Styela clava: one gene and its partner. The protein of the gene in region 2 purifies or fractionates together with the protein of the main gene of each other region. This does not show direct contact. Links are inferred from orthologs where the notes say so. Each region holds a gene or a part of one and is shown on either strand. Other genes may lie near its edges.

Region 1 (17,255 bases), on a different chromosome or scaffold from region 2:
AATTTGCAGTTTCATAGCTATTCTTCACAATCAATCACAGTCACAACAAAAGGAAATTAAATTTTTGATATTGAAAACATCGCCAATGCTTTCAGAACAGCAACACCAAGTCATATAGATCTGGGAAGACATTTTTGATTTTGAACATTATTAATTTTAATAAAAATCACAGAGTCCTTACTTTTCCTGGTCAGTTTGTTGTTCTCGAAGTAATTTCTCAATTTCCATATTTATTGCAGTCGATCGTTTTGCCGCTTCCTCTTTCAAGCGATTGTATTCGTTGATCTGCGACTCTTCCAGCTCAAGGTCACGACCTTCAGTCTGACTGTCGAGTTCGACCTTTGTTTGGAAATATTGATAAAAACGTCTTTAACTTTTATATGTACTATATTAGCTGTACCTCAATGTCGTTTGCGCAGAGCCTTGTTTGAAACAGATACATAAAAGAAACTCTTTATTCACTAAGTCCACATTAATGACTGATCGTTCATGGCATTATTTTGAACAAAACATGTATACATACCAGGGCCTACCCAAGGGGTAGTTTTTACTACCGGACTTGCTAGCTGTTACTGTCTTATATAAGAATTGAAATTCAGAACCCTTTCTTTGAAAATTCTTGGCTATGCTCCTCCCACATACCTGTGATTCAAACTCTAATCTTTTAGACTCCACATCTGCCAGTTGTTGCTTTAAATCTTCAATCACATGCATGTGGCTCTCGTGTCTCATTTCTGCAGTGCGGAGAGATTTTTTGGCCGATTCCAACTTCTTCATTACAAAATTTGTGTTTTCTTTCGCCTGTAATGGAATAGTGGTGCCTATTGGTTTATTCATTGTAAGAAATAAACATGTGGAAAACTGGAAAGTGCATTTGAGAAGAATCGAATAATGAAGGTTTTTCAGGTGTCTATACAGACACTTCATATTAGGCACATCTATTTCCAGATCTATATTGAATAAATCATTGTTGATGTATAACTTGAAAAAGTGGCCAAATTAAATCAAACTGAAAATTTCTTGAAAGTGGGGGTATATTTAAATTTAATTTTTTCAAATGTATTATATGCTTTTTTTATGGTCAACACGCCAAAACTTTGTTCAAATCTGACACAAATAATAACCTTATGTGAGCCTGTTACAAACTATAATAAACCATCAATGCAGCATCATCACCAGACAGGAAAGATAATTACCAAGTAACAACAAGTAATGGTACAATGATTACAAGTGTGTGGTAAAGTAATCAGACCAATACATCCATGTGATGAAATTAATTATCGCCGAGCAATTTGAAGATGTTACTAGTCACATGGTAAAGCGAGGGTTTCATTTGGTTAGCCACCATCTGTAAACTATTTTCTTCTTGTACACTTTTTATAGTTTTTGTATAGCAGTATTGTTTAAGTTAATGAAAACCTAGAAAATGGTCCAAGTGAGTTTCCCTCAAATGGTTTCACTACCATGCATAAATCACATACATACTTTGATATACATTGGTCTCTTCTTGTTCAGTTCTGTCTCCTTCTCTTGGATCTTCTTCTCGACAGATGCCGCCTCTCTCATCATCTTTCCCTGCTCTTGCTTCCTGGTTTTCACTTCTTCTTCTGTGCGTTCTGCTTTTCGCATCAGATGCTTGAGATCTTTGTTTTTATGCTGATAAGGTGGTGGAAATATGAATATGCTGATTTGTGTCACAATAAATCCATCTAATATTATTTCCAATTGAAATTATTTGATTGAAACTTTTTATGATTTATACTTTTCGCTGTTTTTGCGCCCCTGTTCAAACGACGCCCATGGCTCGTGCCGCACCCTAATTACGCCACTGCTTAGACTTGCGGGCCATGTAAGTGTGACGTAATAATTTCAATAACAAGAACTATACAGTGCAAGTGTAATTGGTTGTTAGAAAAGAAGTTTATGGCAGCATCAGGCAGGCAGGCCAGATTTGGCCCATGGACCGTAGTTTGCACATGTCAGAACTATAGCTACTAGTGAAACAGTGTTTGCATGCAAATTATACTCTTAGTCGTAAGAATGGGGCCTTACTTTGAGTCGACATGTATGAAAAACCAAGGTTTTTTTGTGGCATGAATGCATTATTCTTTTAACAGCACTCTTTCTACTTTTTGTCAAGAAATAGGGACTTTTTGTTTTGGTCAAATAAGTTGTGTAGGGCACCATATAATAATATATGAAGCGTCACAAAAAATACTACACACAGTAAAAAGTTTTTATGCTAAAGAGAAGGAAAATAAATTTTGATTGATGCCACGAAAAAATTTATCTATAGTTACTAGTGAAATAGTGGTTGTGCGTAGGTCATACTCTTAGTTGAGAGCATAGAGCTTGCTTTGAGTAGACATGTACAGGAAAACCATATACAGCTTTTCGCCAAGTGTGAATATGTTGAATAGGTGAAACACCACATTATATGGGCAAACACCAAATAAATATTAAAAAAAAAAAACACATGAAAATATATGGATAACTACATAAAAATATGTAAAATGCTACATTACATAAAATATATCAAGCATCACACAAAGTATGTGAAATTCAACACAAAATATGTGCAACTTCACATAAAAATATGTGAAACTTCTTACAAACCTGCAATGTTTCGTGCATTTTTTCCATTTCTCTATCGTTATAGAAGAACTTAAACAACATAACTTGTAACCGTTGTTGAGCGTAATCATCTCGCAGCTTTTCGTATTTCTCCGCTTCCTCTTTTTCCTGTTTGGCTTCTTTTCTTTCAGCAGCAATGCCTGAAGATTTAATAATTCATAAGTTAAAAATATCGGGTTTGAATTCTGTGCCAACGCCCGTAAACCGACGCTCCCGTAATATCTCTACCAAGGTACCCGTACCAAGGTGGTGCACAACCTGCTAACCCTGACCTTGTACACAGACTGTGTTCAGGTTGTGCGCCATCTTGGTACGGGAGCACCCATTAACCGAGTTTAATAACTTTGGTGAGCATGAAAGTTGCGGTCTTTACAAAAATAGTATTTCTTCCAGAGGTGTGGATTTGTCAGAGTTTACTAAATTGAATAGCAAAGTACTGAAATTTCTGATGGCTCTAGCTCCATATATTAAGTTAAGCTTGGCCCCAGCTCTCAACCCGGCTTCACACCATTTCGCTATGAATAATTTCATACTGACCTTTCTTCCTATGATACGAATACTGCGTCTCCTGTTCCGAGGCGACCATTTCAGCTTTTGCTCTTTCATATTCCTCTTTAAATTCTGAAGATCCTGAGATCTCTTCGAAGAGTTGCGTCCGTTCTTTCGGATTTTTCATAGCAATTGATTCCACTTGTCCCTGGAAATTTTTGTTTTTATGACAAATAGAACAGATAGCTTTACACAAACAGTCACGAGCTGTGTAAAGAGATAATATTTAGAAAAAAATTTTCCTGGTCTAGAATAATCTACACACTGAGTGAGGATATAGACAGCGGGGTTGCAACTAGAGTACACTAGCTTGCGAGGGCAATATAGTGAGTCACGTAACTGTTATGTAACAATAGAGGCAGATACTACTTTCTGCAATTTGCTGAACTGAGTTAGCGATCACGAGTGATTATTTAGGAAAACTAGGTAAAGATGAGGGATAAGAGTTGACATTTTGCCTTCATTCATTGGGCCTACATGATTACAACCTTAAAAAGGCATATTATACACATTAACTAACAAATGTACACTAACAATCACAAAATTGAGTTTTATTTAAAGGCAGCAATTTCATCGTGTAAGTACGCCATGAGTATTCTCATGATAATTTGGCGACGCAAAAACAAAAAATTTGGAACCGTTGCTATAGAAGACACTCACTTGGAAAACTAAGAAATTCTTGACTTTGATGAAAATATTAATTCTCTCCATTTCCTTGTTGTAGTCGGCATGAGGAACGACTTTATCATTGATTCTGTGTTCGGCTGAAGAACCTTTGATTATTCTGAAATAAAAGAAAAGGTGAAAATGAGGAAAAACTAAATACTACATGATTTAAAGCAGTGGTTCTCAAACTATTTTTGCTCACGGCGCACTGAGCAAATAACAAAAATCTTGCGGCCCACTCGTGAAAAAATAAAGCTGGACTTCAACAAGTTATTCAGCTAATGCGATGTGTGTGCCTGTTTTGAAAAACAATAGAAATGAGGTTCGGTCGCTCCCTTTTTCGCTTTTAATTTCAGTCAAAACATAAAATACGTGTTAACAGTGCCATGGAGATGCAAATGGCTAGAATATTTTGATGGCCTTTGCGCCAATGATAAAATATAATTTGTAAGCAGATAGCCAAAACTTGTTCAAACCTGCTTTCCTGTTACGTAACTGAACGTGAGAGTCAACACGGTGGAAGGTAGACGTCATATTTACAAAAACATTATGACATCACAATACATTTATGACAAAACAATCCCTGTTACTATAAAGACAAGTCGAATGCAATATATAATATTATCATTGTAAATAATGATATGGATATGCAAGGCTCACAAGCTTGCCAGCTGCATGTATGCCTATGTGTAATACAAACAGCTTTTTTTCTGAAATCCCAAAAAGCTTCACGGCACACTTGAGAATCTCTCACGGCACACACTGATTTAAAGCATGAGTGGACAATTACTTTTCTAAGTGGGCCAATCACATGAAATATACTTGGTTACTGAAGCTCAGAACTCGATACGAAAAACTATGAATAAAAAACAGTTTATTCACAACACCTATTCCAACAGCTAGGCAAACGTTTATATAATAATATAAAGCACAAAGCAACAATCGGGCTTATTTCGATGGCGCGGCGGTGTGGCTCAACGGGCTAAGCGTTAGGAATACACTCGCCACCGCACCTCTAATTACTCTGCGTGGGTTCGCAGGTTCGAATCCCATGCAGGGATGGTTATGTGCGAGAGGATTGCTGGACTCCTCGCCGTTGTTAGGTGGTTCACGTAACCGCTGGTCGGTTACATCTTCCTCCACCACCAAGTCCATGCTTCAGAAAACAAACAATATAACTAATCCCATACCAGTCTTGGAATGGTAACCGGACGAGAGGCCGTGGTTCGCCATATGGATAAGCCGTCTTATCAGCTTTCCTCTCCCCCGGGATGAATATGTAAATCCTCCATTTACGATATTTTCAGCTGAAATTCATATCAATAGAAACTATAATCGTAATTTAAGCAGACACAAGTTGGCCGGATGAAACACCATAGTAGGCTAGATCCAGCCAGCGGCCCGTAATTTTCCACCCTTGGTTTAAAGTCTTGTCTAGTTTGAAAAAAATTGAAAATGATGACTACCTCAAATTTAAAACAACTGAAAACATATAAGGGCGTGATCCGAATCCTTCTATAATATGGTCATTTTGGATTCGATCCACTGAATTCATACTCATTTTCTCACATCTGTTCGCAACTAACCTTGAAAAGACAGTTTTCTCTCCTTTTTCATCAACGTACGTCGCTGTGACTCTAGCTCTGTTTGCGACAGGAGCACCAACGGGGGCGCCATGGATCAAATCCGACAATTTCTTAACTCTCAAACTGCTAGTCTTTTCTCCCAGGACGAAACTGATTGCGTCCATAAGATTTGACTTTCCTACAAAAAAAGTTTATAAATTTAAAATTCTGGGATGGAGAATTGAAATTGAGAAAAAATAGCTGAAAAAATTTATGATACTACTGTGATAGCCGCACTCTACAATTCAAAATATTATCAAGATATGTGACGCATCAGCCATCGTGCCAGACGTCCTTGTTTCAGAGACAAATAGAATGTTTGTTCTATTGAACCAAATGTCGGGACATCATGGAATGCGAGAACTGTGCCCTACTGTAGATTTGTTCGCTGATCCAGTTCATTCAGTGGATGCAAGGTTAGATTAAATTGGGATGTCAAGATCTTGGTTATAAAACTGACAAGACCCTCCTTAGGTACCATAAAAGCGCCTAACTTCGGACAAAATTACCATATTTTCATCAATAACTCAACCATTTATTGTTCAAATTGCGCCAAAATTGCTCGGTAAAACATTGATGCGGTACGCTACATTCCCTGCAAATTTCGTGCTCGTCGGAATATTTTTACTATTGAAATAATCAGTTTTATTTTGCCATCTGACCATTATCCTTCACTGCCCTAACTTCGGACAGTCATTTTCCTCATTGCGTAACTGCGACGCACAGAGAGAAAGAGGCTTCCGACGCGGATGACGTAATCACATCGTTGCGTGAATATAAGACGCTCGATCGGCGTCGTAACGTTAACATCGAAACGGCGTGGCGAAAATGCATCATTTGAAATTTCCATCGTCCAATGTTAACCTTGTTGCATTTATTTGGTATTTTAGTTACGTCAGATCAGTATAATAACACGTTGGCCATTCTAATCGGGAATTAACATACGCAAATTATTCTAATGCAAACCGTTTCGATCTACAATGAAACATTTTAACCGACTTGCAAGTCTTTGAAATATTAATATTCTCGATAGATAGCTGTGTTGATGTTACGCTTATCTTTATAAGTAATTAATTTTTCATCAAACTTAACACGAACCCAATAGGAACGTTTATTCTTCAATTTAATTTCGCTAATTAACATTGAGATAGGTACCGTGATTCTGGTTCGGAATAAAATGAATTCTCCACACGGGTGTATCTAATAACTATCGATTTCGACTTCAAAGCGTAAAATAGTTGTTTTCGTCAGTATACAGAGCCACATGGACGTTCAGACGTTGCATTTCTCTAGTTTTATATTTTCGAATCTTGACGACATTGGTTACGTAAGAAACGTATTCTCGTTAATGTGATTTTGGCATATGTTCACACATGGACCGAACAAAATACAGAAATATTACACTGGAATGCGCCTTTACCTAAAGCGGAAATTGCTAATTTGGCGCCGTTGTGTCGGGCGTCAAAATTCGTTTCCGTGACGCAGTGTGACTTCGTGTCGGCAGTGAGCGAAAAATGATCTATGTGAGGTTGACGTAACTTTTGACGCAGTGTGAAATCTCAATAATTTTACGAAATTTACAATTCAGAATTTTACGTTTAATCTAAATCTCGTATGACATCTTGCGATCACTCTGATAAATTATATACATTGTTAATGCCCTCTGCCGGATGATGGTATTTTGACGATGATAACTTGAGTAGGAGCGACACTCTGTGCCGTTAAATAGAGTGCAGTCATTTTTCGGCAATATTTCCGTTTTTTTCGAGAAAAAAAAAAATTATACAACATTAAAAAGGTTGATAATAGATGTATATATAACAGCTCTACCTATAAAAATTATAATTGACAATATACGGCGCTTACTAGTCAAGATATGGCCATTTAAATTTTTTGTCCGAAGTTAGTAACTGCCCGAAGTTAGGCGCTTTTACGGTATTGTCAAAACTGGAATACAACATTTACAGATTTATAGCATATACAGATATAGCAAACTCTGAATCCTGGGCACCAGTTTGCCATCGGCAGATTGGAATCCATCGCCACTACCAAACTACGCTCACCCGATCCATTAGGTCCAATGATAGCCGTGAACCTCTTGAAAGGAATCAGTATTTTCCCTTTGTATGATTTGAAGTTTTCAACTTCGATACTTTCCAAACGTCCACTCATTTTGCTACAGGAAAAAGCACCCGCAACGAAAACAAATCAAGACCGAGCGCGCTTAGCAGCGTTAGCGCGCAAAATCTTCCTGTAATTGTGGTAGACGGAGTCAAGAAAAATTAGTAGAGTATTATTGGTCTTGCACACAAACCACATAAAAATGATCATTCAATTACTGTTTCAACTATTTTATGTATTTCCTCAATTTTATAATAGTGTTTTTTTTCATTTTTGTCGATTCAAAGACATACCTTTAGTTAACCATTTGATTTGAACCTTTCAATAGCCCAGCGCTCTCTCCGGCACAGATAAATATAAAATAAAACTCTTTATGATCTTTAATGCCAACTTTACGTGACCAATGTAGAATGAAAAAAAGATCTTTCACTCTGAAAACACTAATGTGTATATCGGCACATTATAAAAACTCTCAGTTCGCCCAGTATCTCCCTTACTTTCACTTGGCTCTCTAACATTATTATCCACGCTTTTATCGCCCATGTTTCGCCTTTATATCGATTATGAAGCCAAAACAAACCCGATATCACTTATCGATCTTGGCCGGTAGGTATGTTGTTAGATATTTGTCTGTCTGTTAGGCACTTTAGTATGTTACGCGATATAAATAAACTTATATAGAACTATTATATGAAAATCCAATCCTAATCACAAAAACACGACAAAATCTCAACTAGATGAGATGGATTTATCGCGGCGGTGCGGCTCAACGGGCTAAGCGTTAGGAATACGCTCGCCACCGCACCTCTAATTACTCTGCGTGGGTTCGCATCCCATGTAGGGATGGTTATGTGCGAGAGGATTGCTGGACTCCTTGCCGTCGTTGGGTGGTTCACGTAACCGCTTGTCGGTTGCGGCTTCCTCCACCACCAAGTCCATGCTTCCGAAAACAAACAATATAACTAATCCTATACCAGACTTGGAATGGTAACCGGACGAGAGGCCGTGGTTCGCCATATGGATAAGTCGTCTTATCGGCTTTCCTCTCCCCCGGGATAAATATGTAAATCCTATCCTATTGCTAACTGCGAGTAATCCCTCAGACAAGAACAGGTTATTTGTTGGAGATGCTTTTATAACAATAAAAAGGCAGTTTAGACAGTGCCATATATAGAATAAGACGGATATTCGGACCCTCTAAAATATTCAACAATATTGGGAGAGATGTCAGTGACATGTCAATATAGTTGGGAAACTAAACGTTTGTCAGACGCATCAGAAATATAAAAAAGCACACATTAAGGAGGCATCAATACAATGAAAAAAAAAAAAAAACTGAATAGATAAATTCAATTATTTAATTTTTTTTAAACAGATATTTATAGAATAAAATAAAATTATATTCTTATTCAAATTAAATTTTTTCAACACCCAGACTTAAAAATTCCTATTTTCCAGAAACTGACTCGATCATTGTCAGATATTGCACAATAAGTTCTAACTCCTCGGACAAAGAGATATCGAGATATTCGTCAGTGTGCTTCGTGACATCACCTGCGACGTCATGCACCATTGCTTTTTCGTCTTCAGTCAGTTTCCGAGATGAACTTGCAGTGTCTGTGTCCTGGAATTAGAAAGAAGAATACTCAATAAAATGATACGTCTACGCATATTGAACAGGTAATTAGTTAAGGAGCTCCCCCCCCATAAATATCAGAAAATCTACAAATAATCCCGATCTACATAGGATAAGGCAGTATTTTTAAACCTAAGAAGCAAGCTGGGTTTTACCCATAATGCCCTGACATCATGCTGTGCTGTCATTGGTTAATAAGTGGGAAATGAGATTAGAGCACAGTTATCCCAGGAAGGCAATCACATAGATAAAATGTAAATGAGAAAATGTCTATCAGCATGAAGAATTGAAATGAAATTCAGTTCTCAGTTCATTTTATTTATATTTGGTTAACTGGTAAACTTATCCCCACACTCAAACCTGGTTTGCAACCAAACGGGATGCCGTGATGCATCATGACTTTTGGATAAGATAGGATTTACATATTTATCCCGGGGGAGAGAAAAGGCGATAAGACTTCTTTATTGACAAACCACGGCCAGCCGTTACGTGAACCACGCTACGACAGTGAGGAGTCCAGCAATCCTCTCGCAAATAACTATCCCCGCATAGGATTCGAACCCACGAAAGATAATCAGAGATGCAGTGGTGAACGTATTCCTGATACTTATCACGATGCGCCACACCGTCGAGCCTAATAAACAAATTCTCCTACTTCCAAAGCGCTGCTGATGGAACTGATCCATTCTGAGGGAATTTCTCCTAAATGTTCAGCAAGATATGAAGCAGCTTCCTCTAGTTCACCAGAGAAATGTTCCAGACAAGCTTTTGCGACTCCTTCATCAAATCCCATGGCTTTCAGCTGTGATGAATAAAAACGATACTAAAAAAGTTGTCTGTAAACAAGGCTGTAAGCAAGCAGGCACAGGTTTATAAACAAATATATTATGAATGCTGGGCGCAAAACTGATTTTAATTTTACTTTACAAGAAACTCCCCCGTTCTTCTCAGTTTTCATTGCTTGATAAAGTTATTTCACAGGATGTTTTCGTTTTCTTATGCATAAATTGTTTGAACATAATGGTATTTGGAATCTACCAATCAAAATAACACTATTAATACCACTAGAATGATGGAAAAGGGGCAATCTGTCACAGTAGACCATCGGTACTGCGGTCTTGATGGCTAACCACCACTGGACGAAACAAAGACCTGTCAAACTAATCCCATACCTCATACCTGACATGGTCTTTTAACCGGGCAAGAGGCTATGGTTTGCCATACAATTAATGTCTCGTATCGGCTTAGGATGGGATTTACATATCTATCCCAAGGAAGAGGAAATCTAATAAGATGGCTTAATCATATGACAAACCACGACATCACGTCCGGTTAGCAGTCCATGTTGTGTCATTGTGTGTGGTATTAGTTAGCCAGTTATTATTTGTTTTCAGATGCATGGGATTTTATGGTGGAGGAAGCCGTAACCGACAAGCGGTTACGTGAACCGCGGCGAAGAGTCCAGCAATACTCTTGCACATAAATATTCCGTGTGGGATTCGAACCGGCAAGCCTAAGCAGGGAAATCAGAGGTGCGGTGGCAAGCGTATTCCTAATGATTAGCTCGTTGCGTCACACCGCCAAGCCTTTCTCAGGATGAACTGTAAAAACTATCCTGAAAACAAACCTGTTGAAGCGCACTCTTTTTATTCTTTTTCATATTTTCTTCTGCATTCATTCGAACAGCTTCACGTAATTGGTCAGGATTACTGTCAATCATTTCTATAGCCCCACCCACATCATTGTTAGCATGCTTCAGTGCTTCAACAACTAACGTGGGTTCGAACCCCATCTGTGACACAAGTTGCTCATAAGTGTCAATATTAATTGGGTCTTCGTTGGCACACGTCCCAAATTTTCTGAAATAAAAATTAAGAATATCGTTAATTTTGGAAAGCAGCAGGGAATGGCAAAAACTATGTTATTCTGCAATATGAAATACATTGCATTTGGTGACAAAGTGGTGAATGCACTAGACTTGACTATGATAAATATCAATAAATATTATGTAAATATTGTATATAGTAAACAAACATGAGAGGTATTAATAGATTGACACCAAACCTGTTATTTATTTTTTATGCTTATTGAATTGGGTGGCAACTGACTCTGATGACCTCCAAAGGTCGTATCGTTGCCTCCCAGTCATGTACCGAAAACATTTTTTCAATTTTGTTATGCACATATGTATGTATGTATATATTGTTTTCTTGGTTTGACAAAATGAAATAAACTCTCTCTCTCTCTCTCTATGATAACATGGCAGGTTGAAATCTCAGTTTCAGATACCAAGCCCATTACCTCACCCAAGATGTAATAAATCGTAGGCAATGCCGGACTAACAGATTCCAAAAAGATGAGCTTTTTACATAACATTAGCTATTAGTGAATGCTTGTACAAAGCCTCGAGCAAAGGGTAAGGCGGGAGGAATAAGTGTCCCTAAAAACATATTACTTAAATGAAAAATCAGGATCTTGTTCATAGCGAAGTTTTATATTTCATGCAACAAGAATGGTAGCCTAGAGCAGATTTCAAGATGGGTTCAAGATGACTGCACAGAGGTCCATAACGATGAAAAAAGGGACCTCCTGAAGTATGCGCACCAAGATGACACGCTACCTGAACTCAGGTTGTGTACCAGGTTAGGGTTCAGGTTATGAGACATCTTGGTGCGCATACTTCAGGAGCACCAAAAAAAGAGCTTGATCTCCTTAGAGATTGATTTCAATCAAAAAGTCATTGCATCTTTTTGGTTGACCGTTGCGGACAAATCCAACAAATAAGGGTATACGGCCTGAAAAGCGGCCTAGAGCCATGCTCGGAGAAAACATATATAACTTCTCATACTTTTGCAATGCCTTTTTCCTTTTCTTCTCTTTCTCTTGTTTCTTTATTTCTTTATGTTCTTCTCGTTGTTTGAAAGCCCACTGGGTTGCCAGTTTTACATCCATCATGTTCGCCCTGAGTATTGAAAACAGAGGCAAGGTCAAAAATTTAAATCGAATCGTGTAGGCCGGCGGACCCCAATCCGAATCTGGACCCTTCAAGTAATAAATTTGAAAGCATCTTTTCTTATTTTACAGCTGTGATGTAATGCATTTTTCGCAAAACTCTTTGAAGAAAAATACACTCCAATAATGACATTAACCTCAATGCTCTCCTTGCCTCCCTCTCGGCCAATCCCATTGTCATCAACTCCGTTACTTTATCTTGATCAGTGACAACCATCTTTGCATACCTGTGGAAGAGAGAGGAAAGTTGATAATGTGTTAAAAAGCTATGATTATAATAAGATTGGGACGAAATTACATATATTTATCTCAGTTACCAGTCTACAACAAGTATAGGAATATTGTCACCTACACAAACCACCATTTTTGTGGCGGATAGCCTTTAACAGTTAACCTTTGGGTCACGTTTGTTAGATGCATGGTATATGACTTTCACATTTATTGCAGGATAAAAGAAAAGGTTGATAACAATAGTGTCAATGACCAGCCATAATTGAGCTAAGAGGCATGTCTCCTTTACTTTTAAGTTCAAGTGTGACACTACTTTTAGTAATTTCACTTAAAACTCATACGAACCCTTGAGCTTTGTCTAATAATCTATTCGACTCCTTGTATTGTCCTTCGTGATAAAAAACTACTCCTTGGAGTAAATACAAGCGAACAAAAAGTGCAATTTCATTTCCGGAAGAACCCTGAAAACATAGAAGATATAATGTTTTGAAAATATCATGCTTTTTGCAGCTATTTACAAAGAGTATGACCGCCAATAGGATTGGGAGATATTCATGCATCATGTCCAACTATAGAATTGGCATAACTAAACATACAACATACATTACATAATAACATACATTACAAAAAACAAAACCCATATTTTTCTCAAGTACTTCTGTGAAAATGTATTCAACAAACACTTGAACTGTTCGTGTATGAGTATATCTAGGACGTTTTTCACGAAAGTTATGTTTTCTTTTGAATATGTTCCGACCGAGTGACCTGGGTTCTAGTATTATGCATAGTTGCATACCCACGAAATGAAGAATAATATTACAATTAACAACTAAACGTACCTTCACTGCAAGCAGTCTTTGTAATGAGTCTCCATAACTTTTATTAAAAGCGCTTTCACATTCTTTAAGTCTTAATTTCGCGTCGGGAAGTGCGGATATATTTTTTGTGCAAACATAACACCACACGATGTCCAAACAGAGCACTGCATAGTTATCGACCATCGTTAAAATTTCCGCACGACATTCTCGGAACTCTTTATCAGCCTCTAGCAGAAGTAATAAAGCGAGTTCATAGTTTTTACGCTGTAATATTGCACGACCTTTTTCATGTAGTCCGAGAGCTATTGTGAGCGATCGTTTTTCTTCTTCTGGTAAATCTAACGCTTGCCCTTTCTGATCTGCTATTTGAACATCATAAGCCCTGAAAGGAAAGGAATAATAACTTCAGATTTTAAAAACATGCACAAAAACCTTCAATAATTAAATACACTCGCCTTTAGTTGTTTCCTTAAAAATATTGAGTTGAATTGTTCAATTTGAAACATATTTGATAATTAATAGACAATATATTTTTTGCCTCACTCGGCCTAACTGTTATTTGTAGCTTATTTTTAGCTCTAGTTATTTATGAGGTGGGGCGCGAGACTTGACAAATCCCAAAAAGAGGGTGCGGCTTGAAATGTTTGAAAACCACTGGCTTATAGTGAACAGCTTGGATAAAACTGTCATGTAAATACGCCCCACCCTGACATATCGCTTGATTCTGCACCCATCTCCGCCAATAACTCCGCCCCTTTTCTTGCACGCTTGACTGCTTTCAATGCTTGTTCGACCTCTGATGACTCTTTGCGAGCTGATTGGGCGATTACAAGACACAGTATAACACTGTTATGCTTTACATGTTGTGATTCAAGTGAGGAATCTTTCTGAATCACGCGACCTCCACAAATGAGTTTGACATCTTCTGAAAGCCTAGTATACAGAAAGGAATAGGTTTAAGTGTATTACATTCACATATTTTTTGTGTGTTTATTTCTTGCCCAAGCCTTGTCTAACAAGATTTTTTTTTTTGTGAATGCGTGTTGGTGAGTGGGCACATGATATTCACCTTTTTTAAAACTTTTTTTAAAGGTTTTGCTCGCTCTCCAGAATTCTCCATTTTTTATTTGTTTGTATTGTCAGATTGTGGAGTTTCCAAAATAAACTATCTATCTATTTCGACTCCATAATCAGTACAACCGACGATAAATAAACATTTGATAAAAACAGATAAATAATTAAAACTGAAAACAGAAAGAGGAGGGCGAACAAAACCTTTAATGAGGTTTAATATGATATGTTATTCTTAACTTTATAATTAATTTTACATCATTTTTCCTCATGGGATTTCCCTATTATGTGGAGAATGCAATATATTTACTGGCACATAAAGCTTCTATAATCTATATTATATAGTTTCAGTAACTCTTTCAATGACTGTCCGTAATGTCACTGAAAATCCGTTCGTTTTTGAGTGTATCAATGTGTGAGCATGAGCACGTTTTTGAGTGTGAGTGAGCATGAATTTAATTGAAGTAATAAATTCCGGCGCTCCGTAGTATGTGCACCAGGATGGCGGACACCGGAACGTAGTATGTACACCTGGTTAGGGTTAGGACATAATTTTATTCCAATTTTCCTTATTTCAGTTTTATCACGACTAGCCAAGTGACTCACGTAGTATTTGTACCTGAAATTACGGCCTAACCCTAATCTGGTACATATACTACATGAGTACTTAAATTTCAAGTAACTACAATCATACTTTAATTTTTCTGTGACTAATTTTTTCAGTTCCTCCCCAGAGACGTTTAAATTTGTTTCAACAATTTCGAACTCCACTTTTTCGGTTGATGATCGCTTGAGTTTCAATGTCGCAATTTTATTCGTTTTATAATTCTCATTTTGACGCAATCTTTCTACTGTGTGGTGCCAGAGTTCATTCAAGCATATGACGACAATATTTTCTGGAATCTGAAAATGGATGATGCAAAAGAAATTAGGTTCGAGTCGGTATTCTTATTTAAAGTTGAATTGTTATAGTTTCAGACTACAAATTGGGTAAGCGCACACATACTAGGTACTTCTTTTATCAATACCTTTGCATCTAAAATCTGTACGCTTCAAACCTTACTTGAGGTTTCATTTGCTTTGCTGATTCTGTAATCAGTTTTATTTATTTTGTTTTATCAATTATTTTATCGTCTATTGCTGATTATGGAGTCAAAATAAACTTATACTTATACAAATTTTGAAAAAAATATATAATTGGGATTTCCGGGGAAAAAGGAATGCTTATGAGACTGCTCGATCTTAAATGAACAAAATGGCCTCTCGTGATCCCGTATTTATTTAAGATGCATACGCATAGACTTGAATAGTGGAGGGAACCGTAAGTAACTAACGTAAAGAACCCTACCTACACTAACAAGAGTTTATTAATCCTGTCACATAATTATAATCCCCCCCCCCCTAACATTCGACCTCAGATAGTATAATCATTGATGAAATAGCAAGCAAGCATCACAAGCCACCTTGTCAGGAGTATTATGATTGTCATTGAATAGAATACGGCAGAGTATGTAAATTAAATGACTGTTTGTGTAGGGTCTTGTTTATTCTCCCATGCACGTAAAAGTTTGACATTCAAAAGTTAGTTCTTTTGTATAAAGCCCTCGCCACTAGATTTGAGAAAACACTCCCACTACACTCAAAATAAGAAATTTTCAGTGCAATTTGCAATCCTAAATAAACATTTACCGGTATTTATTTTCCCATTTTCGAGCGTTCGAAGAGGTTTTGTACAAAAGATCCCAAAAGTTTTATTTAATAAATTGATAAGGCTAAAAAGAAATGTGGATTTGAATCTCATGTCTGTGATTTTCTTGTACAGTGACTAGTTCAGAGCAATATGCTTAATAACTCACTAAATGAATAAACTTACTTTAATTTTCTTACTAAATTCCAAAGCCAGTGTATTTATGGCATCTGCTTCAATCTCTCCATTTTCTTTTGTGTAAGGAGGAAGCCATAGTTTAACACTCTTCACACGCAAATGGTTTTTCACTTTGTTAGTAGCTGCTTGAGTTTCTGAAGCCATTTGTGATTCATAATAGAAAAGTTGTGAGATTTGACACCAATCGGGATTCAAAATTATATTTATTCTAGAAATTCTGTTCTAAGAAATTAAAATTTGCGAATTAAAAAAAGGAAATATGCTGAATTTTTAGAGTAGCATTGGATTTTTATAATAATTTGTGAGAATGATGGGATTTACAGTACATAATTATCCCGGAGTAGAGGGAAGGCGATAAGGCTTCGTAAAGTTCAATCATATGACGAACCCCAGCCGCCCTTATGGTAACCAGTCCATGTTTGGTCCAGGATTAGTTGGTTAATTAGTTGTTTCAGATGCTATGATTTCAACCAATCAAAGGTATAGAGTTGATAGAATAGGTCAGGGGTGGGCACACCGCGGCTCGCCAGACTTTTTGTGCGGCTCTTCTCGCTAACATAAATTATTATCCAAATTTTAACTAAGAGAAAAACTTTAATGTAAACTCTTTTAATTTTTTAAAAGTTGTAAAGAAGTTTTCGTCAATAATTAGGACAAACTATGTTTTAGTATGAAAATCACTGTAGCGTTGAATTTAAGTCAGTCGAGTCAGCAAATCTTTCGTCACAACGGTCAATGTTTATTGATGCGTCGGCGGCATTGCAGCTTGATTGCGGTTAGTTTGTCTAATAAGTTACTGTGCGATGTGTCCAAAATTAAAAAAACGAAAGTACGAAGATGAAAACCGAGTTGTCAGAGTTGCCTTGTTTATCTATTTATTGTTATTAGACTCTTGTGTGAATTTCTTTTCTGTTCATGGTATTTCAATAATATTAATAAATTAACAAATTCTGCGGCTCTTTTAAAGTTCTGACTTGCAGCATGCGGCTGTTATACTAAAAAATTGT
Region 2 (16,763 bases):
GGAAGCCGAAGCTCGGGTAACGACCGTCTGCGTACTGATAGGGCAGTTATGATATTAAAACATTTATGTACAGGTTCTTTTCTGTATCCAACTTTCTAATAACAGATTCCATCATTTTAGAAAACCATGCCGAACCTAAATAAAAAACAAGAACGGGTTCGATGATTTTCATGACAAGTAAGGGTTTCCACCACTGCCTTTTAGATCATTTCTTACATTCATCCCTTCAATATTCTCCCGCTTGTTTGGTTTCAAGGTCTCGTTCAATTCATTATTTACAATGTCGAGGCGATTAGGTACCGATTTCGCCACTCAAGCGGGTACCTGATTGATGCATATTAGATCTTGCTTACTATAGACACATTGCTACCCTACCATGCTAAAGACTAGTGGATTCCAACCTTTCTATACTTGCAGCATCAAATAAAATATAGCAACTCATGGACCGGCATCGAAATTTGAAAATGAATGATTGTGCTGTATTGTGTCGATACATATGTCCGAGTAAACACCTATATTATTACTCTTAGCGCTAAATCTACGGCATCGACGAGCGTAAATTGACAGAGAGAAATTAGAAAATGAGTTACCGTTTCTCAAGCTGGTTTTGTTATTATTATTTATTGACTAAACGTAATTATTTTTCTTGCAAACAACTTGGTCGGCGAAAATCTTGTTTTGCTGAGTTTCTCTCTTTTTATACTTATAAGCAACAACTTCGTTTTCGAGGTGAAATTTGGATATGTTAGCGATGTGAAGGTGTTTCATCAATTTCAAAAATTAATGCGTTAACATCTTAATACATGTTAATCTAAATAATAAAACTAACAATTCCATAAACAGAACAAATAAAAAACTCAATGAACTCAAAACAATGAACAAAAATCTTGCATTACAAGTTTCTACTATACGCTACTTCTGATGAAACTTGGCAAAGTAGGGAATAGAACACAGTGGGATTTTGCAAACGGAGAAAATAGTTTGACTGCTGTTGTCATGAGTGAATGTAGAGCAGAGACGAAATCTTCTGTATGTTCCCCTTCTCTGGCAGATGAAATCAAACTCGCTAAATCTTGTCTCATGGGCTTGCCATTGCATGTATATAGTTTATTCGTGTAAGATGTTAATGAGCCGCTTAAGAAGGCTTTTCTGTGTATAGTTCTCATGGAGAAATAACCGATTTACTTGAGTATTTGTGATCACGATGTTAATTTGTGACTTATTGCATAAAAGTTGATGACTTATGACAATCGCTTGACATGAACTTCAAGAAAAACGTTACAGCCACGCATAGTAGCGTCAGGCAGTAAAATTCAAAAATATTTTGCTCGATTCACACAGTCAGCCTTAGGCGACAGAGCTCAAACGCGCGACGGTTTTTTTTGAACAGTAAATGTGCTTTATTACAAAATGCTTAGTCATGCAGCGAACGCTACGGGGAACCCCTCGTTTTCCCATCAGATATGCTTGGCTTAGCTTTTACCACTAATCTCAATAAATTGCTTAGTCATCGTTGTGTAGCGATAGAATATACCAGACTGTATCAAAATGAAACATATATGCCAAGCAATCTATAACAAGTGATACTAGAATAATATGAATTACCAAAACAATTTATAAAAAGTTCCTTCTCGGATATGAAATATTGTAAGCATTAATAATCATTATAGATGTTTACCCGATCCTCGACTTTAGAAAGTTATTAATCTAAATCACCATTGCGGAATTTTTCATTCGTTTTCAGACAGTATTTCGAAAGTTTGCGCTTGCGGACTGGTTTACATCTTCAAAATCACCATTTTGCCTCAAAATGTTCCAAAGGCTGCCACGAAAAGTGTCACAGTTAGATTAAAAAGCTTGACACACCTCATTTTTTGATTGCTGCGACCGAATTAAAAAACTTCCGAGGACAAAATGATGGCTGGGTTGTTCGATTCACTCACATTTTGTGAACATGATCAAAAAATAACAAATAGCACTCAAGACGACTAAGTCTGAGTAAGAGGTGTCTGATCCGCTGCTAAAATTTCAATCGTATGCCACTGTTGATTACTTGCTGATTAGACATTAGCCGGGTAATCAACAAAGAAGTCGAACATCGGTGAAACGTATTTGTACCGGCATCACATCAATATTGTGCGCGGTGTCAATCTCAAGCCCTTTTACTACATTCATCCCTTCAATATTAGGGCTTGTCCTCTCCAGCCCGATTGGTTTTTCAACGTCTCGTTCAATTAATTATTTACAATGTTTAGGCGATTAAGAATTGATTATATACTTCGCAGTCGTGTATTTTAGTTTATTCGAGTTGACGTCAGATGATGCGATTGATAGCGAAGTTCCCGGCTTCGACAAACGCAAATTGAAAGATAAATTGAAAATGAAAAGATTCGTTCCTATTAATTATTATTTCTTGTTATTAAATAATAAAATCTTGTATATTTTTGGACAAACAAAATGAAAACACGAGGAAATTTAGGGTAAATATTCATTTTATTTGTAAGACAAGTAAATTTAACAACTTTTCTAACAGTTGACCGTCGACTGTAATTCATGATCCTGTTATAATATTTTTGTTGCGACGTTATGACCAAGAAGTTAGCATTGTAGAAAGTCCATCTCCCGAATTAACTGCAAATGTGCTTAATTTCATGGAAGAACAGCAGTAATGACGCGCCCTAAGCCTAGCGATTCTGTAATCAGTTTAATATCAGCTTGGATAATATCATCTTAGGAGAGCAATGCCAATACAAAAACTATGACTGCACAACATGATTTAATTGTAATAGGAGAAATATTACTGCCATCTGTACTGTATTTCTTTACCCTTAAATTGCTTTATATTGCCACAGAAGCTTGCCTTTCGTTCTCGGTATCATCTTTTTACCCGATTCCCTTTTTCACAGAGAATTTATTTTCTATTTATTTATAAGAATATTCTATATATTATTGTAATGCCATCTGTTACCCCCCAGAATACTTCTCATCTTCCATGCAACTAAATATGACTACATAACATGGTTTAATTGTAATAGGATAAATATTACTGTCAGCAGCACTGTAATTCTTTACCATTAAATTGCTTTATTGCCACAAAAGCTTTTCTTTCGTTCTCTGGGTATCATCTTTTTACCGAATTCCCTTTTTACAGAGAATTTGAATTTATGTGTACAAATGGAATATTATGCAGAATGTTATTATTCTTTGGAGAATTCGATGAGGCTTTGAGATATCTACTTGAAAAGGAGCAGGATTTTTTCTTTTCTTTCGGGGAATCCGGATTTGGACGAATTCTGAAATGATGAAAATTATTTTCGGACGGATTCGGATTCTGTTTTTGGCGCATCCTCACACCACTATGGTTCCAATCTTTTCTAGTTTGGTATTATGTGGCATGCGACGAGAACAATTTTAGAAATTTTGGCACGTTACCTCATTTGAGTTGTGCACCCCTGCTCTATACAATATTTCGCAATGGTAGATGCAACCGTGACGGAAACTATAAATTCTGGGTTTCTCGTTCTCTATTTTTCTCTTTTAACTGCGTTTAAATAATATTATCACTCATTGTCGCAGCACGTTCCGGAAATTTAATAAGTTGACTCTGACAAAACACATATACATATCCAAACACCACGGCGGGGGAGATTTATGGTTGTAGCCTACTACGTTTGAGCTATTTCGTTGAAAGAAAACGACCGTGAAGATAATGGGGAATAAGACTATTACAATTGGTGACTTTAAAAACGTGGCGACCGCAGCGAATTTTATACTTTCAATTCGTAAGCATTTTATCACATATATATATGTGTGTGTGTGTGTATTTGTTTGTGTTTAATAAAGATGCGACTATTTGTGTGAACAGACAAATATGTACTGGTGCAAATGAATATGGGTATATATTTCCAACGGAACAACTGGTGTAGACTACTATATATATTTTTGCTCAATTCATAAATTGTTTTTTGAGCTGAATTTCAATTTTAATAATCTTCTCAATTCGTACTTGGGGACGACTATAATTCTTTGTGGGCCATACTCTATCTGGAACTTCGACATTTGCATAACTGACCCAAATTAAAACGACGTTATTGCTTATTTTTTGTTTACTTGTACGTATGCAAAAATCGGCCCCCCGACTGATAGCAGTTTTGCTGTACGCAGATGCTAGGAATCGCGATGATCGATTAAAACCTGGTCGGTTACTATACGTGGTGAAATACAAGCTCATTTGTTTCGGAGCAAGCACTCATCATACTAACTGCCACGAGTATAACCACAAAGTATATTTTGCATGTACACATGTTTCATTCGCGAATAAAATAAGTGCCAATATATATCTGTATTCCAAACTTACACCTCAAAAAAATCTAGATAAGATCAAAGAGCTGGATATATCGGAAATATCCGTCTATTTTCAACCAATACAGATTCAGATATTTATTTCCATCAGGCAAGAATCAATATAAAGCAATGATACACGTGAAATAAAACAAAAAACATTGATTTTTAGCAGTTGATGAGGGGTCGAAAAGACCCAAAAGAGCCATTCAGTCAGCGACACCTAGATGTTGAATTACAGCAGAAAATATAAATAAAGAAACAACTTTTGAAGGAATAAACTTTACAACTTACAATAATAAACAATAATAGATTCGAAATAAAAATACGGAAATGTGCCATAAGGTTTTATAGCGTACCGAACTACCGATATCGACAAAATAGCTTTTGGCGCCATTGCTGCTTACAATAAATAATATACACTGTCGCTAGAATTGGACAAAGACTGCAACTTTCAGAACTTAACTGCTTAAGATATTCACATGAAGATAGATAATCATTTGAAGCAAGACTTCAACAAGAAAGAATTATAAATAAATGCCTTCCTCCGCGGAAAGGTCTAGTCGTTGTTGTTTGAATTGAGAGAAACGTTTGACAATTGATTACTAGCAAAATATCAACTTTATTGCATGCTTGTCCATTGTCAAACATTTCAGAATTGGAGAAATCAGAATCAGATGGCGAATTGAACTATCCGGTTGCTATTTCGATATTGCATGTAAACCAGGTATAAAAAATACCGCACCCGACACTCTATCGAGAATTAGATGTGATCTTCCCTCTACTATAATGTCTTGGATGGAAGACGTTAGAAGAACAGTCCTGAATTGTTGTCTATCCAGAGAGATAATACCCGAATACTATCGACCAGAAGCAGGAATTTGACGAGTTTACAAGATTTTCATTCGCTATTTTAACACCTAATGTTTTGGCTGCCAGTGTCGTAAAGGATCTAGCTGCATTGTTTGTTGTAGGCCTAGCCTATTTGGAAGGATAAGATAATAAAAATTAGTAATTATTCAGTTTGAGTTAGGGATGCAGATTGCACTAGAAATTAAAATTTTAAATCATTTAAAACCTGGCATAATAGTTTTCTATAACATTGGAAAGCATAAGAAGGGTGCTAGGAGAAGGGCATACCCATTAAATAGTTGACTTTCTTAGCATTGACGATTTTTCAATTTGAAAACGGACGTCAGCCATTGGAACAATTTATTTTATTGAGACATAAAGAAAATTAACTTGATAAATTATCAATTTCCCCATATATCACCTACTCAGGTACAGTCTGAAGTCTACCGCGTTAGGGTAAGGCACATATTAAGGATTCACACACTCTTCCCGGAGCTACGGTAGAAAGCCGATTGGACAGCATAATCATTTGGCAAACCCCAGCCTCTCGTCCGATATTCAGTCAATGTCGGGTATGGGATTAGTTAGCCAGTTGTTTTGTTTTCAAATGCACAAAATTGCATGCACGGTAGTAGAGGAAATCAGGATTCGAACCCGAGAACCCACGCATGGTATTCTCAGGTGCTGTAGGTGGCAAGCGTATTCTTTTTGGTTACGATGCGCCACACCGCTCGTGTATTGCAAATACCGTAAATGCTTTTAACGCCCGGTCTTGATTAAGGGCCCGAATGAATAGCCGCCCGTGTGAACAGGACATGAAAATAAATAAGGGCCGGTGCTTGAATACCCACCCAGTGTAAATTTTTTTTTTTGCGGATTTGTACCTGCGGTGCGTAGAAAAAGTCAAAATTTTCATTATTTTCGTTTAAATCATACTTGAGAACTGGAAATGACAATATACGGTATTAATTATTGTAACGATCGATCTTATCTATACCGGTATTTTTGTGTGTAATTTTACTTTAAAAATAACATGCGCCCCTACTTGAATAAGGGCCGGTTTGAATAAGGGCCCGGTTAGTGAGTATGTTTAAAAAAATAAGCGCCCGGGCTATTAAACGAGCAAATACGGTAAGCTGGATTCGAAATAAACTCTTCAGCTCCTTATGAATCGCGTTTTCATCCCTCATTTCCATATTGCCTGGGGATTTCATGCGATTAAGTCCAATGTTTCATAGCTCTATCTGTGCGACTAAAGGAATTTAGGTTATGGCACTTTGCTGAGAGCGCAACCATTTTTCACGTACTGACGTTACGTGTGACGTAATTTTCAAACAAAGGGAAATTTGTGTGGTTGGTAATCGATCGGTAGATGGAGGTAGATTACCGTTCCCTCCTTAGCTTGTCCAAAGTTTTGTCATCAGCGAATTCGAACCTGTTGTTTAATAAGGAACGACTTGCTATGTGTTTGCCCATGCGATCTGTGCAGTGCTGCAAGCATACGGTACCGGTATGTTCCTGTATTTGCTGTGCGATATCTTGTGATCTGTTATTATCAGTGTCAGAGTGTACCGGTATCGGCATCACAATTTCTGAGTTTCAGAGTTTTGCCTATTTTTCGGAACGTCCCCCCAGTTTTTCAAAATTCTGAATTAGGTCATGTCTAACATGAACATGTTCATAAAAAATCTCGATCGAATTTATCTGAAGTTCATAGGAATTGAATTTATTAGTCTAATGCAGAATATTTGAGAAAGGTGTTTAGTGGTTTAGCTGTGATCTTTACTTTTGAAGTACCGGTACCGGTACCATACCGCAGGCTATATAAACTGACCAGACTGGATTCCATGGCAGGTGCACGCCCGAGGGCGCTAGCGCTCCGCAAAAATGCACGCGAGCGAAATCAATTTTGCACGCCGAAAATTTGCAATTGCTCACCAATGTAAATCGGTTTAAATGGTTTTAAAATCAATAATCCAGTAATATAAAGATGCCAAAATATTATACCTCCACAATTGTCGACAAATACCAGCTTGCAAGATTTGGTCTGATCGAAATATTGCGAAGCAAAAAGACCATGGACCTTTCCCCAACCTTTGACCCGCGAAAAATTCCTCTCATTGTTACGTCCTTTTTTGCATCTTGCTGATTGGCAAATGTCACGAAGTAAACAAGGAAGTCGATGCTCGGGGAAAGGTCCATATCGTGTTGAATGATAGGAAATAGGAATCCCGTGAGAATAGTTATGGACGAAAAGATCGCCTCCGCACCAATGGCCAAGTACGGCTCTGATTCGGCGTATTTTTCATACAATAATTTTACACGAATGTACTGAACAGTACCGGTATCTAAAGTTGCTCAAACACTCCCAAAATTAGTGACAAAGTATGAAAATAATGTTTGGGGTCAAAGGTCAAACGTCCATTTTGCTCTAATTTGACGTATTTTTTATCCATTAATCCTACGTAAAAACACTACCAAAATTAATGACAATGTATGTCCATTTTGCTCTGGTTCAACGTATTTTTCATCCAATAATTTTACGCGGATGTACTGAACAGTACCGGTATCCAAAGTCGCAGAAACACTCTCAAAATTAGCGACAAACTGTAGAAATAATGTTTGGGGTCAAAGGTCAAACGTCCATTTTTTCTCTGATTCAACGTATTTTTTATCCGATACTGGTAATTTTACGCGGATGTATTGAGAGGTATCTGATGTCAAAGTCAGTTGCACGCGAGTGCAGTTGTTTTGCACGTCGTGAGCTATAATTGCACGCCAGGAATTCTTATTTGCACGCGGGAATTTCTGATTGCACGCCCGATTTCTCGTTCAAAAAGGCCATGAAATCCAGACTGGTAAACTGAAATGATCAAAACCAAATATTTTACTCTTTCGAATACATTTCGTGAAAATATTTTGGGATATGAAATAACGAATACCGTAGCCTACATTCTAAATTCTGAAATTGGCAGATTGCTGGATTTGGGGCAATTTTATGTGGAAAATTACATAAATCACAGTATCTTCATGTTAATCATATCTTAAATGATATAAATATAAAGGGCATTGTTTTTCTTATGTTGTTTCTTACTAGTACAGTAGTATAGATATTGTACATTTTGATCTACTTGTCCGTCGACTCAAAATCTCTATTTTTCAAATAAAAATTTACTGAATTTTTCCTAAATTTAATTGCTGGTGACTTAAGAGTAAAATGGTACCGGTAATTCTTGCATGCACCAGTAGGCCTACATAAAATCAGAGGTTAAAAGTAGCAACAAGAACTGTCTGACTGTAGATATAACGAAAAACAATGATATGTGTAATGAGATTTTTGCGAAATGAGATTTCGTGAGAATGTATTTTTGCTAAAATGTTATTTTATTCAAAATACGTTTTCACAAAACTACATTGTTGCATGAATCATTTTTGCAAAGTATAGCCATGTAAAAAGTTTTTGTGCAGAAGATACCAAGCTAACAAATAACTAGTGACTTAGCATGAATAATAATTGAGTGAGGACCTAGATCAGGGTCGGCCAACCTTTTTGGCCGACGGGCCACATTTCAGCATTTTGTTCACTAATAATTACGCGGGACAACTTAACATAGTAATTATGTTCTAGTTTTGCTACACTGACTGAAAGTTAATGAAAAAACAAACAAAATCCTCGCACCAAACTTTCTCAATAATAAGAATAATAAAAAAAGAAGATACAGTAAAGTCAACAAAGTTTTTTTACTTACTTTTACTTACTAGTTTGGCACTTTTTTCCCTAACAAGTTTGTCAATATTCGCTGAAATGGACGATGTGGCAATGCGAAGCGAATTTTCAATATGACTGTCAGAAATTAGTGATCTCACAGGGGATTTGACATGGTTCATCTGTGAAAAAACTTGCTTGTACAAGTGCTGCCAAATAATGAGGTCATTGAAACTGCCATTCTGGCCAAGTGTATAAGCGACTATTTCTGTATCGATATCTCCCAGTTGGTTTCGATTCCAAATGGCACTCATGGCTCGTTTGAAAGGGCTAGCAGAGCGCATTTCAGGAAAATGAACAAATTGTTTGTATCAAAAATTTATATTAATTATCATGCGAAAAATCAAAGTTTTACTCATTTTATTTTTATTAATTCCGAAAATACAGCGCGGGCCACTCAAAACTCCTCGGCGGGCCACGGGTTGGACGACCCTGACCTAAATTGTCCAGTTACTGAGTTATGCAACAATTTGCAAGTCTGCAAGTGCAGTTTTAAGTATTTTGTGGCGTCTGAAGCTGCCGCAAAACCATGGCGGGATTTCAAAACCATGGCCGCTATGGCCAAACCACGGCGACTGACTTTTTAGCTGCCACAAACCAAGGTCTTGATGCCGGTACCACGGCAGCAAATTGAAAACTAATGGCGGGTAAAATTTTTCACATTTTCCCTATGGATACAGTTTTGATGTGTTTGGGGTTAGGTTTCAGGTTTAAGTAGGTATAATTCTGTGTGCTAAACTAAAATCTGGCAGATGACTTTGTGAATATACCTGTGAATATAATACTGATTACTGAAGAGCGCCATAAAACCATGGTAAGAGATACCGTGGTTCGTTCATGGCACGATTTGGTTGCAATGTTCAAGAATAAAATAGTTTTTAATTTGAATTTCTTGCATTTTATGATAAATTGCAGGAAAGTGCTTTGTTTAGGGTAGCTTATATCTCTGTATCGGGTTTCAGTTAAAACATGAGAGGAATATAGCAGATTTCCATATATTTTCATTTTCACATTGGGATAAAATACCTTCACATATATGAATGCTTCTCAAAGAAACTTATGTACTCGGAAACACCGCTATGAGTATGAATCCTAACAACTTAAATCCAAACATGGAAATTCCAAAAATACCGTTGATGACATTGGCAGGAATCACAAGTTTGACAGATGGTGAGTTGTTTCTATGTGCAGTACGGCACAACTATCCCATTCCATGAAAAGCCCCCACATTGAATGACATCGATTATAATAGTGAGTACAAATCCCTCTGTTACGTGACAGTTTGGGACTCCGCATTGGTATAAATCGGCTAAACAGCTTTTTGCACAATAAACTAAAGAAAGTGCAAACTAGAAATATTGACATTAGATTGCTCGGAAAAAATAATGCGATTTACTGGAAGAAAAAAAATGTACCATAGCATTCAAGAGTTCTCAGCGAAAAACGCAATTTTGGTCTTGTGCCACCCCAATTAATTTAGATTATTTCCGAGATAAGCATGGCGCAATCTGACGCAATTCCCGTAGTGCCAGATGCCCTCATTTCAGAGACAAATGTTTTTTTTTCTGATTGAATCAAATGTCAGGACATCTTGGAATTAGAGAACTGTGCCTGACTTGATAAATTCAATGCTTTTATAGATTTATGTTAACTAGGCATCTGTGGCATGGATAAATAATGGATAATGAATTCCTGTTTTTCATTTGGGCTCATTAATAATAGTTAATTCAAATCTTGCCATTTCGAAATAGTTTTTTTGTTATCTTCCTAGTATTAATTTCAATTAAATTTCAGTTCTACATGAGTTGCCACTGCCTGGTCCACATCCAGATTCTCTGGAATACCCTCTGTTTGCTTATTCGACTATTCCTATGCCCGGAATCAAGAGACTGATAAATAACACAGACAAAAACAATGTTTCAAACGTCATAGATGCACTTTCACAGACAAATACAGAAGACATGTAAGTTGACGTAATTGTTTCAAATGTTTGGTCACCTCTACAATTTGCTGTGTCAATATGAAAATAAATGAAGTCTCATATAATTATATTTGTTTATATAGTCATGATAACATGAGAATTGTAATAGTTCCATTAGTCAGAGAATTTCTGCTAGGTAAACAGGTAACAATTTTTTAAAATTTGAAATATTGAATTTACTGTAGTTACTCTTTTTCTCTGCAGAAGCTTATTTTTTTCTTATAAAATCATGATTTTTATGAAGGTTATTCATTTCGATTGTCAAATAATAATATTTCAATATACTCTGTAACATTTTTTAGTCAACCGTTTTTTTGCATAATTTTCAAGTTGTTCATCTTGTACTTTTTTTTTATAGAATTCTAAAAGATCCATCTCAAGATACTGATTGCTTAGATGGCCTTAATGTACCACCTTTGTTGCAAGCCATCTTAACCAAGAAACCAGATGTTTTTTATAGAAGACGGGTAAACTTCTTTTTGCATGAATGTCCCTAGCAAGATTTTTAGATCATACCTAATTAGCTCTGTTGACTCAGCATCATAAAAATGCCTTATCGAAACTCAGTTGCTATTCCATCACCCAGGCTGTGGATTTTGTTCCAACAATATTCCATATAAAGGAGTCACCATTGTTTTACAAATTTGCAAAATTACAAATTTGCAAATTCAAATATTTATGTCATTTATTCCTTATTAATTACCGGGAATCACCACAGAAAGGACTTTCATTGACATGTAGTGATAAGGTTAAATTGTTAGTAGGTATACTTTTTTGGCTCCTCAACTACCTGGTGTTTTTATATCTAGTAATGAAAGGCCTAGTGGCTGGAGCTTTATTGAACTTAAATATGATGGTGTCCCAGATCCAAGTTCAAATTCCATACCCTACATCTTACTCAAGAAAAATGCTTCGATTGTCCCTTTTTTGTATACTTTTTATCAATAAAAGGCATGGATGAATATACAGTATATACCGATAACTGTACTTTTTTGCCTTTTCAACATTGACTTTGTGAAATTTGCAATGCTCTGTTTTTTTTCAGACTTTTGTGAATGATGTTGGAGGAAATATCAAGCATAGCAGTCCTGCACAAGCTGCTACTCCACAGAGCCCTGCAATAAGGTATGAGTGCGTATGACCCATAATATTACCAGTTTATAACTCTGGGAATTGATGCAAATAATTCATTATATCTATTTCACACAAAATTTTTATTTTGTTATGTTTCACCTACAATTTACGTCCACTACAATTTACTTTTTTTCCCATTTTTTTTGTCCACGAATCCACAATCATACTTATGTTGAAATGATATAGCCTTTATAAAATTTTCTAGCACTATAAAAATTGCTTGTCATGAATCTGAGAATTCGTTTTGTTTTGTACATGTATACATACATATATATATATATATGTTTAGTGCATATATGCTAGCTAGGATATAATTTTGATTGGATTTTTTGAAGTTCTTGGGATTGAGCGAATTATAACAGTGTTTTCAAGTTTAATAATTATTGTAATGGTATTTATATTGTTTATTTATAGCTTTCATTGTAATACACAGAAATGTTCGAATTTTTCTGTTTTTTTATATTGTATAATGTTTGGATTTTTTTTCCATCCGCTTTGATGAAAAGTCGAAATAAATTTGATTTATTTTTGATGTAAATTAGTTAAATCCAATTTTCTAACTACTAGTACTCTGAATCATTGTTCAAGTTTAAAAAAAGTTTTGAATAATTTCTGTTTTCAGTTACACAGGTTTGCCTATGTATCAAGCAAGTCCAGCTGAATGTGCTTCTGAAATTTCCTCATCACAGTTCAAAACAGGTCAGAATTAATAATTGTTTCAGAATAGACCCTTTTTTCTGCTGATCCTAGGTATATAATGACTGTCAATATTTAAAAAAAATTGTTTCATAATAGACCCTTTCTTTTGCTGAGCCTAGGTATTGTATATAATTGACTGTCAATATCTTGAAAAAATTAGTAGGAGATAGATATTTAATTATTGTGTTACCCATATGTATTTGATCAGTGATTTTTTACCGTTATTCGAGATGGTAAGGGCACGTGGATTACCCCAGAAATTTCTGCATATCTATTTTATCTTTTGCTGCTTGGACATTGCTTGCTATATTCTTGTCGAAAGATCATTTCATTTTTACACTTTTTAAATTTTCCTAGCAAAACTGTCCACCAACTTGAGAAACATTGTTGAATTAACTTACCGGTAGTTTTTTCAACAGGTGTAATTTTATCTTTCCTTGATATTAACGGTTTGTCCTCATTGAGACTCTTATCTATTATGGTATACCACTTGTATTTGTTGTATTTTTATTTGCTTTAAATGTGCTATTTAGATCCCAATCAGGTCAACAGGTCTCAAATTCCTCATTCCACATGCTCTGAGAATCGAGATACACCTTCATCCTCTGTAAGTTCATTTTATAGTTTGCATCTATTTTTAAATTTTCAGTATAATATAAAGCATTTTTTTATACAATTTGTTCCTCTTATTTTAAATACTTGTAGGACTTCATTTTATTATGAAGTTTATTCTATTTCTTATCAATATGGCAGTCAGTTTATATTGGACCTCGATATTTGGAACATTTTTTGCAGAAAAATGAATTTACTGTTGAGAATCCATCTAATCAAGTGCAAGAAGAAAATCCCAAGATCTGTTTAAAAATACGGTGAGAAAACTACATTGTTTTTCAGTAGTCAGTTTTCAGTAGCTGTCCATCCTCAAAAACATTATTATTGTAGCCTGTGAGTACTCCCGTAGTGTGTGAACCAGGTTAGGGAGAGGTTTTCTTCACTTTATTTCTATTACGAGTCACGGACTGTCTGTGTTAGCCAAGTGAATATACCCCCTGCCCAAAGGTTTCAGTCGCTTTACACAACTTGTTGTAAAGTAGGCGAACAAAATTAGTTACCTCTATATTGGTGCACACACTTCTTGTTGTTCTTGGAGCGCCTTGTTGTGTAATACTGTCATTTGCTTTTAAAGGATCAGATGACAAAAATATTTAGGCTTGTATATTAATACTTATTGTCAATTTCACATTATCTTATAATTGTTGATTATATTTCTACACAGCTCCTCTGTTTACCGGTATGTGAATTGTTTCAATACAACTTAAATTCTTTTTTATATTAGGAAGAAAAAGAAGAATAATAAAGACAAGGAACAGCCAAAATCATCGGAGATGAAATCCTCTAATGGAAGTATTGATTTAACAACGAACGATGTTTGCTATGATATTGTTAGTAGTCCTTCAAAACAACCTGGTTTATCATCACCAGGATCACTCAAACTTAAATTATCAAGGATAAAAACAGAACCTGGTACAAATTCTGATTTTCCTGCTTTCGAAGTTGCTGATTCCAACAAGACACCAGAAAGTTTGAATAATCAACAACAACCTCAAGTTCAAAGTTCAAATGACACTCTACAAAGATCAGGTGCTCCTATGATCAACCAAACAAGATTAGCACCAGCACCTTCATACAGACCTCCATTATCAAACAATTCAAGTTCTAATGCCATGAGCCAACATTCTTCACATAATAATACAACGCCACCACAATATCCCAATGTTGCACTGCCTTTTTCAAGTCCTCCAGCCGCTCGATCAACAGATTCTTACCTGCCGTTTGCACGGCCTCCATCTTTTGCTAATACAGACTTGAATGTCAACACTCGAGCAGGTACTCCTCATTCACATCAGCGTCAACCTATGCCTCCACCTCCACCTTATGCATCGCCGCACGCAAAGAATATCACTCCAGAACAACTTGCCAATATGGCATCCAATTTCTCACCATCACCAGTTTCTCTTAGTCAGCATAAGCAGAGACAGGTTTGTATTGTTTTATATTAATGTGGTGATCATGGTTAACATGTTTATGTAATATAGCAACATAAAAATTAATTTTTCAAAGTAGAAACTTTCGTGGTAAGTGGTATTGACCATTATTAGAAAATGTAAAACATCTGTGCTGTTATAGTCGAATCAAATATACAAAGACGGAAATATTTTCTGTATTTTTCATAATTTTGTTTGTGTTACTTTTCAAATCATATTATTTTGAAAATATTTTATACTTTTTACTTATTTGAAGTGATGATATTCGGCACATGTATGGGAAAATAGACATACGCGTATATTCGAGGATATATGGTAATACAAATCACCCAACTATCATTGCACTTTATACTTCTAATAGAAGGATCAAGACTTCGATTTAAGTAAAGCTTCCTAATGACCTGAAGCTCACATTATTATTGTATACTTTATTCCATTTTGTAGAATCGAAGCAATAGTGAATCATCTGGTAAAACTCCTTCATCTAAGCCTAGGAAAAAGGGTAAGTAACTACTTGTGCTTTATTCTCCACCGAAAGATTTAGATCAGGGGTCGGCAACCTACGGCCCGCATGACGCTTCACTGATGACTTGCAACCCTTAATTTTGGCCCGCGAGTAACAAAAGGTTGCCGACCCTTGATTCAGATGCTTATTTATTGGTTGTTATGATATTGCACCAAGTATGATATTGTATGTTAGTAGTGTTATAGGAATGCTTTAATTCATTATGGTAATTACAGGATCTGATTAGATTTTCAGAAATTAATCAAATGTATAACGACAAGAGCATGAGGGTAATTTTTAACAGAAGACGTCATGGCTGTTTAGTAGGTTAAAGTGAGGGAGATGCTTGTAGAATATATTAATGAAAAAACAAATTAGAATCCTTTATATTAGAGGTCTCACCCATTTATGGAAATAGTTTATCCATTCTGTAATATAGATATGAATGGATGTTTTTTTTATTTGAATTATTACTTATCGATCTTTAGATCGGTAAGTATGTTGATAGGTATTTGTCTGTTTGTATGTTAGATGCACGCGATATCTCACGAAGGTGTGGTTGAATCTGCTCCACATTTTGCATGTGCATTCATCATATCTCGGACCAGAAACTTATTGATTTTGGATGAATTATGTCGTATAATTAGCGAGTTATTAATTAATTAGTGATGGGACACGCGGTGTCACTATAGAGTCATGAATCGAAACCGCAGTTTCGATCGATAAGTCTTTGGTCTCTGACTGATATTCTCGTTTTGAATTTGTTGATTAGCACTTTGCACTAATTACCTTGCTGTTGATGTTGTGCAGGTAGATGTTTTATTATTGCAGCACAATGAAGCTAGATGGAATATTGTCTGTTTGTTTGTTGGATGCACGCGATATCTCACGAAGGCGTGGTTGAATCTGCTCCAAATTTTGCATGTGCATTCATCATATCTCGGAACAGAAGCCTATTGATTTTGGATGAATTATGTCGTATAATTAGCGAGTTATTAATTAATTAGTGATGGGACACACGGTGTCACTATAAGGTCATGAACCGAAACCGCAGTTTCGATCGATAAGTCTTCGGTCTCCGACCGATATTCTCGTTTTGAATTTGTTGATTAGCACTTTGCACTAATTACCTTGCTGTTGATGTTTTGCAAGTAGATGTTTTATTATTGCAGCACAATGAAGCTAGATAGAATATTGTCTGTTTGTCTGTTAGATGCACGCGATATCTCACGAAGGCGTGGTTGAATCTGCTCCAAATTTTGCATGTGCATTCATATCTCGGACCAGAAGCCTATTGATTTTGGATGAATTATGTCATATAATTAGCGAGTTATTAATTAATTAGTGATGGAACACGCGGTGTCACTATAGAGTCATGAATCGAAACCGCAGATTCGATCGATAAATCTTCGGTCTCCGACCGATATTCTCGTTTTGAAT

Evidence for each region.
Region 1: the proteins of nipped-B-like protein A (region 2) and structural maintenance of chromosomes protein 1A-like purify together in Homo sapiens (affinity purification with mass spectrometry; 3 studies listed by BioGRID and IntAct, with this or other methods). This does not show direct contact. The link is inferred for Styela clava from reciprocal best matches to the Homo sapiens genes NIPBL and SMC1A.

The regions. Positions count from the first base shown.
Region 1 is NC_135252.1:24,236,586-24,253,840, reverse strand, and holds the start of structural maintenance of chromosomes protein 1A-like, read right to left. Parts: upstream 7,721-17,255; 5' UTR 7,647-7,720; coding exon 7,538-7,646; intron 5,614-7,537; coding exon 5,436-5,613; intron 3,968-5,435; coding exon 3,844-3,967; intron 3,332-3,843; coding exon 3,172-3,331; intron 2,775-3,171; coding exon 2,617-2,774; intron 1,657-2,616; coding exon 1,486-1,656; intron 802-1,485; coding exon 643-801; intron 340-642; coding exon 182-339; intron 1-181. Other genes in the region: NEDD8 ultimate buster 1-like, read right to left, coding at 9,043-9,219, 9,887-10,033, 10,859-11,090, 12,080-12,193, 12,381-12,470, 12,820-12,935, 13,314-13,674, 13,998-14,225 and 2 more. UniProt on the Homo sapiens protein: Involved in chromosome cohesion during cell cycle and in DNA repair. Central component of cohesin complex. The cohesin complex is required for the cohesion of sister chromatids after DNA replication.
Region 2 is NC_135260.1:16,737,169-16,753,931, forward strand, and holds the start of nipped-B-like protein A, read left to right. Parts: upstream 1-9,861; 5' UTR 9,862-9,999; coding exon 10,000-10,129; intron 10,130-10,753; coding exon 10,754-10,922; intron 10,923-11,298; coding exon 11,299-11,407; intron 11,408-11,985; coding exon 11,986-12,065; intron 12,066-12,696; coding exon 12,697-12,773; intron 12,774-13,306; coding exon 13,307-13,380; intron 13,381-13,568; coding exon 13,569-13,642; intron 13,643-14,109; coding exon 14,110-14,812; intron 14,813-15,262; coding exon 15,263-15,320; intron 15,321-16,763. UniProt on the Homo sapiens protein: Plays an important role in the loading of the cohesin complex on to DNA. Forms a heterodimeric complex (also known as cohesin loading complex) with MAU2/SCC4 which mediates the loading of the cohesin complex onto chromatin.